3 linked regions of the Schizosaccharomyces pombe genome follow. The gene in region 2 interacts genetically with the main gene of each other region. Each region holds a gene or a part of one and is shown on either strand. Other genes may lie near its edges.

What was found.
Region 1: of idn1 (region 2) and gcd1, changing one suppresses a phenotype caused by changing the other (phenotypic suppression), as found in Schizosaccharomyces pombe (one study listed by BioGRID).
Region 3: of idn1 (region 2) and loz1, changing one enhances a phenotype caused by changing the other (phenotypic enhancement), as found in Schizosaccharomyces pombe (one study listed by BioGRID).

Annotation. Positions count from the first base shown.
Region 1 is NC_003421.2:238,365-244,656, forward strand, and holds gcd1 (glucose-6-phosphate 1-dehydrogenase), read right to left. Parts: upstream 3,405-6,292; 5' UTR 3,351-3,404; intron 3,073-3,350; 5' UTR 2,845-3,072; coding exon 1,417-2,844; 3' UTR 1,099-1,416; downstream 1-1,098. Other genes in the region: SPOM_SPCC1529.01 (transporter), read left to right, coding at 1-169, 224-728, 787-886; wtf antidote-like meiotic drive suppressor Wtf5, read left to right, coding at 5,491-5,629, 5,796-6,041, 6,091-6,292.
Region 2 is NC_003424.3:2,273,839-2,278,609, forward strand, and holds idn1 (gluconokinase), read left to right. Parts: upstream 1-3,031; 5' UTR 3,032-3,136; exon of another isoform or gene 3,137-3,187; 5' UTR 3,188-3,360; coding exon 3,361-3,942; 3' UTR 3,943-4,271; downstream 4,272-4,771. Other genes in the region: ornithine carbamoyltransferase Arg3, read left to right, coding at 174-1,157; cmb1 (cytosine-mismatch-binding protein 1), read right to left, coding at 1,740-2,339; retromer complex arrestin related endocytic adaptor ubunit Vps26, read right to left, coding at 4,404-4,771.
Region 3 is NC_003424.3:4,191,136-4,197,873, forward strand, and holds loz1 (zf-C2H2 type transcription factor), read right to left. Parts: upstream 4,079-6,738; 5' UTR 3,076-4,078; coding exon 1,507-3,075; 3' UTR 935-1,506; downstream 1-934. Other genes in the region: intramembrane aspartyl protease of the perinuclear ER membrane Ypf1, read left to right, coding at 1-105; SPOM_SPAC25B8.18 (electron carrier protein), read left to right, coding at 478-843; SPOM_SPAC683.03 (uncharacterized protein), read left to right, coding at 4,507-4,824; SPOM_SPAC683.02C (zf-CCHC type zinc finger protein ), read right to left, coding at 6,524-6,738.

The sequences.
Region 1 (6,292 bases), on a different chromosome or scaffold from region 2:
GCTCGAAAGCTCAACAAGTCTGAAAAGACAAATAAGTATCATACTGAGTGGAATCTCGAGCATATCCCTAGGCTTAAACTTGTCACTCCAGCTTTAATGAGACCAATACGAATGCTTTTCACCCAACCTATCGTGATACTATGTTCTACGTATATGGCTATTCAATATGGTAGGTAAAATAGTTATACTTTCTTCAATGAAACACCTCAACTTACCGTTATAGGTATTCTCTATCTTGTTTTAACTACATACCCCACATTGTGGACCGAAGAGTATCATGAACGACCTTCCATCGCTGGCCTAAACTACATTGCTTCGGGGATAGGCCTTATCTTTGGCAGTCAAGCATCTGGTATATTTATTGATAAAACGTTTCGATACCTAAAACGTAGAAACAATGGAAAGATGGCACCTGAATTTCGAGTCCCCGTAATTTTATTGGGAACTTTTTTCTTTCCAGCTGGCTTGTTTATTTATGGTTGGACTGCGCAGTATCACACTCACTGGATTGGTCCAGATATTGGCGCAGCCATGTTTAATATAGGTTTGATGTTAGGCTGGCGTGGTATCCAAACTTATTTAATTGATTCTTTTATGATTTATGCAGCATCGTCGACAGCAGTTGCCTGTTGTGTTCGATCGATTGCTGCTTTTGCATTCCCTCTTTTTGGCCAGGACATGTATGATACCTTGGGATATGGATGGGGTAACTCTCTTTTGGCATTTATGTATGTTTTTTGATGGATCATCTCTCTTTTTATCAATTTTTACTAACAGTAGATAAAGTGTATTGGGATCCTCCATAATTACATGTTCTTTACTTTGGTTTGGTGGAAAACGGTTACGGGCATTATCTAGCATGGTCATTTTTAAAGACGATGTATAGGTAATCTTATTTATTTTACAGATATTTTGTAATAATACAATAATACAATTTAATAATGGTTGGAACACTATCAACTCTATTCAATAAAAAGTTAAAATAATGTCAAAAAAATTTGTATACGATTCAGTAAATACACATTTCTTCAAACGTTAAGCACTAAGCAAGAGAGCTATAATTTAATTTACAACGCAATGTGATACTTTTATATTGACTCAAAATGTTTGAAGCGTTTTTATTTTTTCGATGAATAAAAATAATACTCACATCTCGTTACTATGTACTACAAAGTTTTGTAAGAAAAGAGGCTTAATATTTATGGATGATGTTCGTTGTCACATAAAATTAGATTATTAAATTGAGCGTAAAGCTAAATAAGAAAAATGGTTTTATAAAAAAAAAAGTTGAAAAAGGGAAAAGGCAAAGCGAAAGGATGTCATATATGAAGTTTGCTCATTAGCTTAACAAATATACAAACCCGTGTATTAAAAAAAATATGGTGGTTCAAAAGACTTGATATGGTTTCCTTTGATTTAATCCCACTCTAAATTACGCTTCTTGAAAAATTCGAGTGTGGCATCTGGACCATGGTGGGAACCAAAAGCATAAGGAAGAGGTGACAAATCGCCTGTAGTGTCAAGGACATCATCAAAGATTTTCCAAGAGGTACGAACCTCATCATCACTAATAAAGTGTGTATGCTTTCCATTAATGGCATCGGCAATAACCACTTCATAGGCCTTATGGATCCATGTATCAGGGAAAGCTTCGGGATACTTAACGTCCAAAGTCACAGGAACAATTTGACGAGAGAAACCAGGTTGTTTAATGTGTCCCTTGAGGGCAATGAATTCCTTGGGATAAACACGAAGGACTAGAACATTGCTGCTATCAACGGTAGGGAACATACCTCCTTCCCTACGCTTAAAAGTGATACGAGCTTCAAAGTAATCGCGGTCCAAACCTTTACCGGCAGAAATGATGATGGGAATACCCTTCCAACGAGGTGCTTCAGAGCGAAGTTGAAGAGCACAGAATGTAGAAACTTCACTGTCATCAGCAACACCATCCAGTTCACGATAACCGGGGACCTTTCCATTTGCACTTTTAGTGTACTGTCCATAGACGATGTCCTCCTTGGAAACGGGATGAAGGGATTTCAAGAAGTCAACCTTGCATTTGATGATATCTTCGGCATCTTGAGACTTTGGCTCTTCGATGCAAAGTAAGGTAAGTAGTTGCAAAAGATGATTTTGAACGACATCGCGAAGGATACCAGCGCCCTCAAAATAACCTCCACGTCCCTCACAACCAAAGTCTTCACGAAAGTCGACACGAACACTTTCAATGTGTTCACGATTCCAGATGGGCTCGAACATGGAGTTTGCAAAGCGAATTGCAGTGAATCCATCAATCATATCCTCGCCAAGGAAATGGTCGACTTTGAAAGTATCCTTGGCAGACCAGTGCTTGCTGAGATCGCTGAGAATGGCATCGGCAGACTTGTAGTCGAAGCCGATGGGCTTCTCAACAATAAGACGAGTGACCATACCATTGGGATGAGCCTTACTCTTGATTAGCTCGGAAACGGGAGCAAAGAGATGAGGAGGCAGAACCAAGTAAAAGATACGTGTGCATTCGGAGGCGGGAGCAGTCTCCTTTTCAGCAATAATGCTGTTTAGCATCTCAAAAGACTCGGGCTTATCATAAGTACCGGGGACATACTTGTAATGCTCGACAAAGGTGTTTAAGGCCTTTTGAGAAGCACCGACAGTATCGTCAATGGGAATATGGGCGGTGACGATTTTGTTAGCGGCCTCTTGGGACAATTTGGAACGGGCATAGCCGATGATTTGAAAGTCCTCGGGAATAATTTTGCGGACGTAAAGGGCAAACAAGGCCGGGAAAGTCATTTTGGTAGCGAGATCGCCGGATGCACCGAAAACAATGATGGATAGCATTTTTGTTTAAAAAAGTTGGAAAGAAAGTGGAAAAAAAGTGTCTGAGACAAAAGGCGAGATTAGTAGTGAAAGTAAGATTGAAAATATTTTTTCTTTTGGGTGAAAGAAAAAAAAATTAAACAAATGAAATGATTTAAAGGAAATCCAATGAGATTTTTTCAAAAGGTCAATTTGCGATGATAGTTTAAATTCGAAGGAAATTGTCTTGTTATCTACGAGATAGATATACTAAATTGTGTTAGAAAAGAGCAAAGATAAAAGACAGAAAGAAAGAGAAAAGAAGAAAAGGAGAGAACAGGAGGGGGAGGAGAGGAGAAAAAGGTGATATTTCAGGTAATTATTATTGACAATTGAGTTGAATATCCTTTGATGATTCACTTTGCGTCTACCCTTAACTAGCACCATTACTCACTACCCACTACTCACTGCCCTGCCTTACCCTGCCCTTTTTTCAAAAATCCCCGGCCCAACAATAAGCGAAACGAAAAAATTCGCCAACCACCTACCTAAACTCCACACGACGAATCAAAAGCGAGTATGTTTTACAAACCAAGGTTGCTGGGGGTTCAGAAGAGGGACCATACTCTTGTATATATACAACTTGAAGCAATGCTCGTGACATCAGACACGATTGGAAAGACCTTAATGCATCTATCAACCTAACGTCTCCGCAAACATGGGACAAGGTGTAAACAAAACAAACCCAAGCCAAACTTCCTTTTAAGATGCGGGACTGCCCGGGGTGAGGCGGGGCGACAAGCTCTCGAACGTGTGGCCCAGGTATGACAAGGTGTGTGAGCAAACTTTAGACTTTAGTATTTAAGCTTTGCTGGTTACCACGCCCACAATTCCTACCGCTTCCAATGATGTGCATTGCACGATGCATGAAATGCTCTTTTACACTTTCGGCTCTACTACGTCAATGTAGCAGTAGCCTAGCCAACTGGGCAACTGAGAGTAAGGACCTTAGTGGCTAGTCAGACAGACCCCGGACCAAGGAGAGGGGAACCGAAACGCAGGTGCCAATGAATATGAGAGTTCGACGAAAAGGGGGTTACTCGGGTAATGCAAATCTTCAAAACATTCGATCATCCATCAATCAGCACTGAAGATTTTCCTCGCATAAGGTTTATGGGAAACGAGTAAAGTTTGAAGGGGGGAAGCGGGGGATCTCGGAAAAAGTAGGAATTAGAGTAGAAGCATGGCAGAGCAAGGCAGGCGGGCGCACAGCGTAGCGTTAAAAAAATAGCGCAGTAGGACCAAAGCACGTTACAGTTACGCTTGTTATAATTTACACAAGGAGGGATTTGCTGTGATATACTTTATTACACACTGATATAGGCAACATAAAACCATGTACATTAAAACTTGGGTAGTGTAAGAGATACAAAGGACTTTAATAAATTTACACTTCCATTTCGCATCTCTGTCATTGCACATCTAAGCCCGTTCTCAGAACCTGGAAATGCATTCCTCATATTCTTCCTACTAGATCCATTCTTTTTCTCAGTCTCCTTACCTTACGTATGCTTCTGGACATGTCTGGCAGAGGAATTTTGCCTTTGTATGAAGAGGGGGAGAGATCTCGGCAATAAGGAGATGGAGCATACCTCGTTAAAGGAAAATTAGGGCTTCGTTGTGGCTTCCCAAATGGTTGTCTTAGCAAAAGGAAAAAAAGGTCAGCTAGGGTAGAAGCCGAAGGGCACAAAGTTGGGGCAGGAAATCTAGAAGTTTGGAGTAAAAGGCGTTGTTTTGCTTATTAGCCAAAATTTACGAAATTGGAAATTAACAGAGCCTTCTTTTTTAACGTACGTTTTGCATATCCCTAAGTCAGTCTAGTAAAAGCATGTATTTACTGTTTTGCATGGCGTTCCTCTTCCATCCTCTTTTTTCTCTACTAAGCTTTTTCTCTTATCTCCCCTATTCCATCATAACGATAGTATTCGTATGTTAATGAGTTCGGTACATTTCGTTCGAGATGCGGTAACTGTACTGAAATGGACAGAGGAGCTAAAACAGTCTATGTACGTGAAATTTGTAAAGATAAATTTAGGCTTACAATTTTTGATATTGATGCAAATTATTCATTCCTGTCACCATGTTGTTTTCTTCCATGGGTTGTGAAGAAAACCCCTCCCTTGAATTCTTGGTCAAACACTTAGTGATCTCCTACTACTTTCCCCTAGTACCGCGGGGATATGGAATTTGGTGGTTGCTAAATACTGAAATGCATAATATTAAATAGTACGACGCCGGACGTACTCCTGATAACGAAGCGACACTTGCACGCACTATTCAGTTTCAAAAGTCGCAGTAAACGTCTATACTGATAAATGATGGGTTTGTTTCTCAAAAACGTTTAAGGAAAGCTAAGTTGGGGTGAATAAAAAAGGCAGTGACAGAATAAATGTGTCAGAAGCAATTCACTGCCTCGTTCAGTTTTTTCGTTCTTCTTTTTTTATGCCATTGTTTGAAGGAATTAGTTGGAAATTTGTTTGAACGATTTTATTATTTTGTTAAAAAGTCTTTAAAGCGATTGGAATTGGACTACAAAGTGAATATTCTTGATTTCGCTGTTTGGTTTGTCGCAATCATAGCAATTAATTCGCGCATGTATTTTATTAAATAAAGAATGATTTTATTATTATGAAGAATAATTACACTTCTTTGAAAAGTCCTCTAGATGAAGAAGATGAATTGAAGACAGATCATGAAATCGATTTGGAAAAAGGACCCCTCCCAGAATATGATTCAGAGGAGGAAAGTACATTGCCTCCATATTCAGGTAAGAATTGTAAATAATAAGAAAGGAATTACTCAATGGAAAGTTGAAACTTGCCATCTTGTCAAATTGCATGCTTTGGTCATTGTTTACAGTCGGCCATGCAATGCACACAATTTGATACATGCTCTTTCTTTACTAAAGTATTTCATTATATTAATTTAAACAGATCATGCACTTGTAAATAATCCTCCTAACACACATAGAGAAAACCATTCTTATGGGACGACAGATAATTCTTCCCCTTTGTTGATAATACTGCTAATATCATTCACTTCAATCATTCTATTCAATGCTCCAGAAGTTTGTTATCTAAAGTATAAGGACGCTTTTTTTAAAAATTATGGTGCAGCGGAATGGACATTATTTGGATTTTGGTGTCTTGTTTGCACTTTGGCTTTAATATTCTTGACTTGTAAGTGAGACAATGGGGTTATTCTTACCTTCAGTCACTAATTCATTAGACTTCTATGAAACTTGGACCAAGGCAGTTAAAGTAACTGTAATTTCCTTGGCGAAATGTGTAAAGGTGACTGCAATTTTCTTGGCACAATGTGTCAAGGCTTGCGGAAAAGGAATCAAGCACTTTTTAAAGAAGTGGGAAAACATGCCTATGGCTTTCAGTGAAGTCTTTTTATTTAACATACTTGTCGGATCACCAAGAAT
Region 2 (4,771 bases):
TATATTACGGCGCCAATCTCGCAGTCTGAGAGAGAACTAGATATCGGCTATATGCAATCTCACCCTGAATATCTAAGAAATTACCAGTAACTTGTGGGTTCCTTGTAGTCGACTACAAAAACCGTATTTTTGATATATTTAGTCGAGAAGAATTATTCAGTTTGCAATTGAAAATGTCTTTCAAAAAATTTCCTCGTCATTTACTATCCATTCGTGATCTTAGTCGCGGAGAGATTGTAAAGTTGATCGATCGGTCTTCTGAAATTAAACAAGCTTATAAGCAGAATTTTCAGAATCGCCGTTCTGTTCAAATGAGTGGTTTGTCGTCTCAGAATGTCGCCATGATCTTCAGTAAGCGTAGCACTCGTACTCGTGTATCAGTCGAAAGTGCTGTCAGTTGCCTTGGCGGCAATGCCATGTTTTTAGGTAAAGATGATATCCAATTAGGAGTGAATGAGTCTTTATACGATACTTCAAAAGTTATATCAAGTATGGTTTCTGGTATTGTTGCTCGCGTAAACAAATATTCAGATGTTGCTACGCTCGCTAAACATGCCTCTTGTCCTGTTATTAATGGTCTTTGTGACACGTTTCATCCTCTCCAGGCGTTAGCAGATTTACTCACTATTAAGGAAACTTTCAAAAGCTTTGACGGTTTAAAAGTTGCATGGGTAGGTGATGCCAATAACGTTTTACATGATTTGATGATTGCAAATGCCAAGGTTGGTATTCATACTAGCGTTGCTAAGCCCAAGGACGTCAACGTTCGCGACGATATTTTATCAATCGTTAACGAAGCTGCGAACGAAAACGGTTCTACTTTTGAAATTGTTAACGACCCCAAGGTTGCTGTTAAAAATGCTGATATCGTCGTTACCGACACTTGGATTTCTATGGGTCAAGAAGCTGAGAAGGAACAACGTCTTAAACAATTTACAGGATTCCAAGTCACCGGAGAGATCATGAAGCTTGCCAAACCTAGCTGCAAATTCATGCATTGTTTACCCCGTCATCCCGAGGAAGTGTCTGACGAGGTATTTTATGGAGAGAACAGTTTAGTTTTCCAAGAAGCAGAGAACCGCAAATGGACCACTGTTGCTGTCTTGGAGGCTTTGCTTGTCAACCGTGGTGAAATTCTTCCTCCTGCCTCAGCCTAAACTGAAATCCTTAATTTCATTTTTATCTGGGGAATGTGCAAACAATGCCAACTTTATAATTTTTTTTATTGGGCGTGCAAATTGTGATATTCATTTTTGAAATTTTATGTACTTTGTTTCACAAAAAGAAAATTGACTTTTGAGAAAATTTTTTAATTGACAATTACTTTTCAGATTTTTTATGCGCAGGACACAGGCTTCTAAAGACGTACTTATACGTTAAAAAAGGGGATGGATCAATTTGGCTCATTAGTCCAACAAGCTTTGTGTAAAATTATTACCCGCTTAATGCTATCCTCTTAACTAGATATTTCAAGGTATCAAGCAATCATAGTATTAAGCACTATTATATGCAAAATACAATTTAAAATTAATAGAAACTACAAATAAGCGCAACACTCATAAGGAAAAAGCTTTGGGACAATAAAGCTTTCGTCAATGCGGAATCTACGACAGAAAGAAAACTTAGTGTAGGCATCGAAATTTATTATATTTCAAGCATGTATGCTAGTAAAATAAAACGTAAACTCATTGATTCAAGAAATCTATAGAAAAAAAAGATCTGGGCAAGTAGAGTGTGCATCATCGAAATCCGGCTTCTTTCATAAACTTATCGTATTGCTCTTTAAGTGCTTTGCTTTTATCAATAAATGGCTTTTTCTTGTCTTCCGCCAATTCCTTCCACGCCTTTGATGCATTTTGGGTCTCTTCAACGAGTGTGGAAATGGCTTCTGGAATACCTAACTCTTGACGTAGCTTGGGATTGTTTCGAAGCTCCTTGTAAAAGAGGATAAAAGCAGAAGAAGGTTTTTTAGGAACATCTGGATGACGAAGTCTGTAATAGCGACTGCCCGTGCTGTGAGCCTCCTTCGAGCGACGACGATTTTCACTATCGATTTCTGTAGGTGTAAAGGATCGTAGAGTCTCCATAAAACGCTTTTTCTCAGCATCGAACTGCTCCTGGAGTTTGTTTTTATACTTTTGGATCTCATCGGCAGTCAAAGCTTTGTATTTTTGACGAATCATCTCAAAGCGCTCAGGACCATTACCAGCACCTTTTGTTTCAACCAACATTTGATTCCAAATGGTTTTCAGCCTAGGGGGGATCAACTTCTGTAATCCATTCTTTTCGGCAGAAACGAGAGTAGTGTGAAACTGGCGTATTCTAATTGCAAATACCATTTTGTGAAAAATGATCAAAGATAATGGTGCTTGGTAAGTTAGGTAAGGAGGCATTGCGTCAAACAGACGCATTCAAGTACTGAGTAAATATCGGGTACGTAATATTGTACAACAGACAAATGAGTAGTAAAAAGACGGTTTACTCAATTTTTAATAGCATAGAATAAAGGCGTTAAAAGCAGTTTGTTTGTTTCTTGTAACCACAAAGGTAGTTTCTTTTTCTAAGTGAAACACTTCGACATTCAACATAACAAAGCGTTGGTCCACAGAATCAAAAAGGTACTCCAAAATGAAAAGGAAACAAACGCATCTTCATCTCTTGAGCAACAAAACAGCACTCATTTCTATACTTTTTCCAACCTTCCTTATATACCGTACCTCCCAGCACTCTCATATTCATTACTCACCATAGACTATATTGTAGCTGTGTATTTAGTATAAAAATGTTTCAGTGGAATCGTTGCTATTCACTATTCATTACAGTGTATTCTTTCAGCACGTTATTTTAATTTAATAAACCGAAATAACATGCCCCGGTTCTTCTTTTGTCATATTGGCATCTTGGGTTACTGAAGAGATGGGGTATACGTTGCTTCAATCTCATTAGTTCTAGAGCCCCTCTATACCCCGATTTCTAAACGTCAATCCAACTTAGTTTTAAGGCTGTCGGCCTAATTTAAAGTTCCTTTCTACAGCTACAAAATTTGTATTAAAGGGACGAGAAGCCCCCGGGTATTTGTTTGTTTTTAATAACATCTAGTGTGTATTAACTTTTCTTGGCTGTGTTTAACCAAGTCGTAAGTGTCTGCATTTTTTCGGTATTTCTTGCCGCTTACCACAAACTATAGTACCTTTGAAAAGTTGGCTGTTTTCCAGTAAATTTGCATCGCTTTGTCCGAGAAAGGAGCCTTTTAGCGCCATTTTGACAAAGCTTGTTTAAAACATCTCGTTCGATTACCACCAACGTGTGATTTTGTGATTGTACCCAAACTTTGAAATCCTCACAAATAATTCGATAACTATGACTGTTACTCCCATTAATCCTACTAATCAGCCATACAAATATGTATTTGTAGTCATCGGCCCTGCCGGTTCAGGAAAAACGACGATGGCTAAGGCGGTATCTGAGAAATTGGGTTTTGAGTATATTGAGGGTGATGATCTACACCCCAAAGCAAACATTGAAAAAATGAGTCAAGGCCATCCTTTGAATGATAACGATCGTTGGGGTTGGTTGCATAACTGCGGAGGTGCTTGTGCCATGGAACTTGACAAGGAATCGATAAAGGGAGTTGTGTTAACCTGCTCGGCCTTAAAGCGTAGTTACCGTGATATCCTTCGTAGCTCTTTGGAGCATCGTCCTGCAATTTTGCGCTTTATTTATTTAGCCGCTTCGAGAGAAACACTTATTAAAAGAACGACTAGTCGCAAAAATCATTACATGAAGGCTGACATGGTTGAAAGTCAATTGGCAATCCTTGAGGCTCCTACCGCTGATGAAAAGGATGTTATTACCATTAGCGTTGAGAATGGAAAAGAACAGTCAGAAGAAGAATGTCTTGATATCGTCCACAAAATGGTTAATGAAAACAAGCAACCTTAATGAGTCTTCTGCTTCTAAAATATTTGCACGCTCAGCTCACGTGTCTCTGTTTGTTTATTGTTACTACTTGATACGTTTTTGTAGTCTTTTGTTATTAAAAAAAAATTCAGAAAGTTCCTTGAAACGAAATGTTGTCGGCTTTTTCTTCATTTTTTTATTTTACTTTATAGTTAGCCCGGCTTTCTGTTTTAACTAGCAATATTCAAGGCATTTACCTTCTTTTCTGTCGTTTCTGCTGCAATGTATCACTGAAAAATAGGCAAACCAAAAATCAGCTCTGTTTATTAAACGTAACTTTTTGCTCTCTTTAAACTTACTATGCTTTTCTAATGCTTATTTTCTGAGAATTATAGAACTCCAACTTCTTATAGTACGTATATCGACCAGAAATAAAAAAATAAAAGAAAGAATGTATTATCATTAAAACTCACATCATGAACGAATAATGAGGATGTTATTCATCACTCATGCTCATCCCTTCTTCTCCATAAGGTTATTTCAGATTGTTTAAAATATCTCCTTTGATCCTCATCCACCAAAATTAGACTCAAATAATATCTCACACTAAATTTTTTATTAACGTCTCGAAATGTTGGTGTTAAAGCGTAGCCATTCAAAAACATCCGTAAAGGAATTGTTTCCCCACGATTAGGATTACCATCCATAATTTGAAATCTGGTAATCGTTTCACTGTTACTGTACTGGTTTGGTGATGTCCCGATCGTTTCACGCCGTATGATACTGACTTCCATCCGCTGAACCTTGATGCGTACAAGGATAAAGTAGATTTTCCCAATAATAACATCTTTTAAATGATATTTGTTTTTGC
Region 3 (6,738 bases), 1.9 Mb from region 2:
CCATTACTAACTGCTTGGTATCGTGACGAATTGAAAACACTCTTCTCCTTTCGTAGTGAAACAGAAGATGAAACTGACGAACAAGATAAATGTAAAAGTACTTAAAATTGGTCCTTGATTTAGAATTTCAACATTCGTTTGTTAAAACCCATTCCTTACTTCACGCTCATCCGTTATTCGCCATACCGTATTTCCATAGTTTGCCATGTATATACGTTATACATATACCATGATATTCCACTTACCTCAATTCAATTTTTTACAAGAAATTTGCAAAAACCTTTATTTTGAAAGTTTATTTTAGAATAAAAAGTATTTGATTACAAAATTTAAATTACTCCAAATCACTACTAAAGAGTTGAGCATAGTGCATTTATACCACTTTGTTCCTTCGGCAATTATTTGACTCTGGTGTCTAAAATTTGAAATAATAAATAATTTTGATTATTAGTGAATTTCAGCTGTGTTTCTCCTAAAATGTTTGGTCTGACCACGAAAAGAATATTGACACTGTTTACCAAAAAGCGACAGACGCTAGTTGAGCAAAAATTAACAGAGTATATGATTGCAGGTGAAAAAACGGATAATCAAATGCTTCATTTTAAATTACAGGTCGAAACAGCTACCCCAACCCTTGACCAATTGAATATCATGCTCTCTAACATTGGTAAAGATAAAAGTGATTTACTTGTCGCAGGTGCTACGTCTATTGAAGATGCTTTGACAAAGTACCAGCATGATAATCAATTGTTTCGACGACCTTGCCTTGTGGATTGGGATAAGGGAAAAGTTAGTCCATATTCCATCCTTCTCCAAACTCGCGACTTTTCTAAACTTTTATAAAAATATCTCTTATTCCAACGACCGATTTTTACGTATCATTTTAGTTTATGAGCATCCTTTCAACTGATGTTGAAATGCGATGCATTTCAAGTTACGAATAATAAAAAATTTTGTTATTATTATATCTGCATATTCAATAGTTACTGTAATAGGATTCATCAGAAATTCCTTTTTATCCACTTAATATGTCGTTCGTTGCCAGATCTTTCGAATGGACTTAATTGATTGATATCTTGAGTTCGCTAGTAAACACATATTTGTACGATAGAAAACTTTTTAAGGGTAATAAATTAGCTAACAATGAAAGAACATTTCGGAAGTAGAAAGCTCAAAATAGATTCTTCGAATCATAATAAAATGAGACTTTAAGCATATGTTAAAGCTAGGTAGGTTAAACGGAAATGAGAAACGTGACACGCAAACTGTAATCAAAAAAATTATTTTAAACTAAACTCTAGTAAACGCGCGATAACAAAACGTAAAAGAAAAGGAACGGAAGGTAATGCTATATATTCTTTAAGGGTGCGGGCAGCCAACTGCTATGTGGTTTTATTCAATAAATTTTTATATATCATGAAATTAATATCGTCAGAAGTTGTAGTAGTCGCAATAAATGGCTTTCAAGTAACGGCTAATAATTGCTATCAGACAGGTTAAAATTGGCTACAAACCATGAATGCGTTGATGTCGCCGCATATTACTGCGTACATTGAACGCCTTTCCACATCCAGCGTAATCGCAGACAAACGGCCTTTCTCCTGTATGGGAATATGTATGAATTTTTAGACTAGAAGGCCTAGAAAATCCTTGTAAACATTCCGTACATCTATATCGAACGTTGGCAGCGGAAGAGGTAGACGAAGAACCGGTATGGGATTGTGCAATTTTGCGTGAAGTTGAATGTCGCCGCGATACATGAGCTCTCTTATCGTTGTTGTGATGATCAGAATAATTTGAATCAGATTGCTGACCCATTGGATGAGCCTGCGCGCTGTTGCTAGCCAAAGTAGCAACAACACTAAGTTCCGCGCTCATGTTATCCTTGAAATTTAAAGAAGGAATATATGGATTTCTGGATAAAGTGTGATTGTTTTCAGCGTCATTAGGAAGCGGAACCGAGACTGGATAAGAGGTGTTTGCCGGGCCTTGAGAATCATTTGATTGCGAGGTTGAGCTTTCGGAAGCGTTTTCGGCTTGATTACCATTTGCATGATTTAAAGTATTACTTGCAGGAGGAGCAACCGATGAAAGACGTGATTCATCGACTGTGGGATGATTTTGAAGATCTCGGGAGCTGGGTTGATACTGTGCAAATTCTGTATTATGCGGAACAGGGATGTGCTGGGGCAGTGCACCCTGAGCACATCCAGGACATACAATTGGATAAAATGGCTGTTGAAAAGGAAGTACTATGGGAGCGGCAGGAATAGGAGCAGATGTAACTTCTTGATTATTAGAAGACGGAGGATTTGCGCCTGAGGTATTGTTCTTGGAACTAGGCTGCTCTGCAGCTTCAGAAGATTGCCTTTGATTAGCAAGCGCCAGTTCGTTAGCCTTTGCAACAAAATATGCATAGGAAAGAGGGGAGTAACCAGACAAAAATCCAGCAGGAACAGCAGCCGGATTAGAGTTTCCATTACTAGTGTTAGAAGCATCAGTCGCCGAGCCTGTAGTCGCGTGAGCATAATGCGGGACGGCAGCAGCTGCTGCTGCTGCCAAGAAAGTCGGGTCGGCGAATGTCCCACCTAAAATAGTAGAAATGGGAGGAAGTCTAAGTCGAGCGCTTGATGCTGCCAAGAGGTTTGGAGGCATATGAGGATGGCCGTGAACAGTAGTACAACAACAAAGTGCGTTGTTTGTAGAAGGAGAAAACTCTAACTGACCGGCAGCATTCAGGATAGCAGGCATGCTTGCGGCTGATGTGACATTGTTCTCCAAATTTTGATTAGAATTTGAAGTAGTCGGGGTGTTAGTATTACCTGCAGGAGGAACTGGTGCCGGTGTTGGACGAGATACATTTGCAGATTCCGAAACAGTAGCAGCTTGAGGATCGAAAGCTTTTTGAGCTACTTGTGGAACATCTACCGAGCCATGAAAAGCAGGATTCTGCACATGTGGGTATGGACAAGCAGGAAACATGTTATATACTATTCCAGAAGTAGTGGGAAGAGAAGATTGAGGAGGGTTCTCGTTATTACGTCTATTGATTGAAGGAGTGTTATCTGAGCTCATCACTTTTAAAAACAGCAAAAGCCTAAAGAAATGAAAAAATTGAACTGAACCAAAGTAAGTCAGATCGTTCTATTCGGAGTAGCAAAGAAGCGTCACTGGATAGAAAGTGAGTTATAATGAGACTCGGTTAAATATATTTAATTTCTGTCGTGAGATTGAACACGATATTACGAGAAAGTCCTCTATATTTGAGGGGTGAAAGTGTCCGATATTTGATTGACACAGAATTGCTATCCTACGAAGTAAAAGAATATCTCAGTTTAGCCAAAGCAAGAACAATTAAAAGAGGCAATGCAAGAGACAAAAGAATAACGGGATCCAAGGATGATCAATGTAAGAATAAAAAAGCAATTGATCGACTGATTAACCCTACAGTAAATTTTTTTTTGGGGGTTTTTTTTATAATAAATAGCGGAAATGAGTGAGCGGAACAAACAAACAAAGCAAAGAAAAAACAAAAACTTCCTACAACCTTTACGAAGAGGAAGGAAAGAGTGAAAAAACTAGAAAAACCAACTCAAAGGCGCTCTAGGACAAAAAAAATATGGTCAATCGTTTCCACGTGACCAAATTCCAACGAACCAAGAAACACAAATAAAAAAACTAGGAGAATACAGAAAAATTAAAATGAGATGCAGCAACAAAGGGAACGAAAAGTAATTTGTTTGCTCTCCACAAGCCGACAATTTTTACAGCACTCTCTTTCCTCGAAGATAAATCCAATAAACCGCTACCTTCCAAAATACCAGAACGTGAAAAAGGCAGGAAACAAAGAAAATTAAGATATCCGTATGCCAAACGAGTGGACTCGAAAGGGCAAACAGGATAAACCAAGAGAACCAAGCTACAATTCAGTTGTTGGTCAAATGATGCTGCCAGAGAAAGGATAACACGAAAATATAAGAAAATATTACAAATAATTGGGAAAATACCACTGGAAACTTGGTGGATTCCTTGATTTGCAATTTACCTAGTGGTGTTGTTGTTATACAGTAGGAGTGGTAAACGGGGAAATCCGGTAAATATCTTTATATAAACGTGAGAGATGGCAAAGCTTTTTTAACGGTGATCGGCGTAATGTTACCTAAAACTTTGTTGGTAATCTCAATACGGGGCGAGTAACAATTTTCTCCAGATAACGAATTACAGCTTTGCCGGCCGACCCCGCTTTAGCTAAAATTTTTTTAGGGGAACTAATATAGACTCAATGGAAGGAGCAAATCGACAGAAACAATATAGTCTGTAATGTAAAGAAGTCTACGAAAAAACCAGCAAGACCTTGATGTTCTTTACTTTCTGGATTCGATGTGGTGGAATACGTCAAACGATCGGAATTTGTATTTTGGGACCCCTTTGACCCATTTACCCATTCCCATATGATCGACGAATGATCTGCGTTGAAGTAACAGGATTACTATATCAGATATCTCGATGGAAAAATGCATTAACCGTTATAAGGATATATTGCCGTTAAACCGCTATAGCGACGGTAGTGGCAAATGCTGGGGATTACTGGGCTGTGAAATATCGAGTGTAGTAGGACAGACTGGAGTAAAGAGATTATTATTGGGATCAATTACTAAGTTTGTATACTGTTCTATGAGGTTATTTTCATTGTATACTATTGTACAATATTTTAAGTCATTGCGTTGTCTACGAAATGGGCGGACAGAAGTGCGCCTGTATACACATTACAAGAGACATCTTCCCCGTTCAGTGAATTCCATCTATTTACAAACAAATTGTTGAACGATTATTCACAATTTAGAAATGGCCGATCGGCCCAACAGCGATTCCGAGCCCGGTGTTTTCAAGTGCCATGCTTCATTTTTCTGCATGGGAGTATATCGCTGTGTAAGAATCCATCACAATAGCAAATGGACATGCGATCCAACGACGATGGGGCGGCAGTGTATTGATCACACATCGCCAGAAAAACTCATCTCTCGCTAACGTAAGCAGATAAAACAATGTCCTCAATTCACTAATGACTATTCTTTAGCGAGAGTTGCGCTAGATTGCCTAACACTTGGCGTACAATAGGCGGATTACCAATGGATATCCCATCGTATGGCCAACATTGGGCTCACAATTCAATTTAAAGGATCGTAAGGAATTGCAACATAGTACAGGAATAAGCAACGTACTTGAAGCTATCGTACAGTATCACCCGTATAACAAATGCTACTGAACGATCGATCAGCGAGGCAAGAAAGTGGATTGAAAACTTGACTTGAAATCGATGAAAAGGCTTATTCAAAATAAAAAAATTTTTTTTACGATTTACATATGAGTCAAACGCATATCAAGTACTTACTTCCGTCTTTTCGTTAACATTGCATACTTCTTGGGTTAGCTCCTATATTAACGCATTGTTTACCAATCTCAGTACCAGTTTGTTAATCCATGTTAAATCCTTTCATTATAATTAATACCTATTTTCCAGCTCAAGGTCCATTCTTTATTTTATTTTATTTTATTTATTTTATTTTTATTTTACTATTATTATTATTATTTTTAATTTTACGAAATTCATATAAAAACTTTATGCACTCTTGTAAATTCACAATTCCGATTAATTCACATTTAAGTTCGATTAATTCGCAATTCATGTATAGTTAGGCATATTGCAGGCATATACCATATACACAAAGAACCAAAAAGTCGCTGTAAAAGTCCACTGCTGGATAATCCTTCTTGCAACTGTCAGTCACATAACGGTGTGTCACTTTGGGTGGATAAGGATTACAGTATAGAGAGGGGGCGATCATTAGTCAGTAAATGTATTTTTACATCCATGAATGGACCCTTGAAACGGGATTTGCATTGTCTTCTGTCAAGTGATACCGCATATCACGTGCAATGAAATCCATGATCTATATTTCGGCATTTGTTTTCTCAGCTGGCAATCGCAGCCTGCCAGTATTACGAGTTGAGTAGGGGTTTCCATGATTCCCTACGTAGAGAGAGAGTATCGCACATATACATTAAGGTAATAATTTGTATGAAATGAGTCGAGTTGTCGAAACCAAATTACAAATAGAAATTTAATGGTCAGATATCTAATATCTAATTGATTACATGTATTGTTTGTTAATTCATTTTAATATAAGCAATTAAAAAATTAACGCTTTGAATTTTTGCTAAGAATATATTGTTTTTGGTATTCGGATTTGTAGGATTACATTAAAAGTGTCAGCTAGCTATATTGTCCCAACACAACAAGACAGCAAAAATATTTTGCTTTTTACTCTTCTCTTTTCTATTATTTCTTTAATTTTTTCAATTTATTATAAAATATTAATTATTTTTCATACACATCAACTTCAAAATTCGCATATGTAATCGAAAACGTACCAAAAGCTGATTATCTGTTACAGTTACTATACCATGGCTTGCCTTCTGGTCTAGTCCAATTCCTTTCCCCGTTTACCTTTCCAAAACCCTTTTAAAACGTAACCAACTTTTTCACAGGTTTCACTGGTCTTTTCTTAGTAGGCGCTGCAACCGTTTTGGCGTATTCATGATATACGTCTTCATCAGCTCCAGTGGTACCAGCGACACCAACAACATGGCCAAAGGAAACATCATCCTTGTTCACTTGATCACAATCCTTTGCTAAATGATGTACAGAGGAACAAAATTTACAACAACCACCTTTGG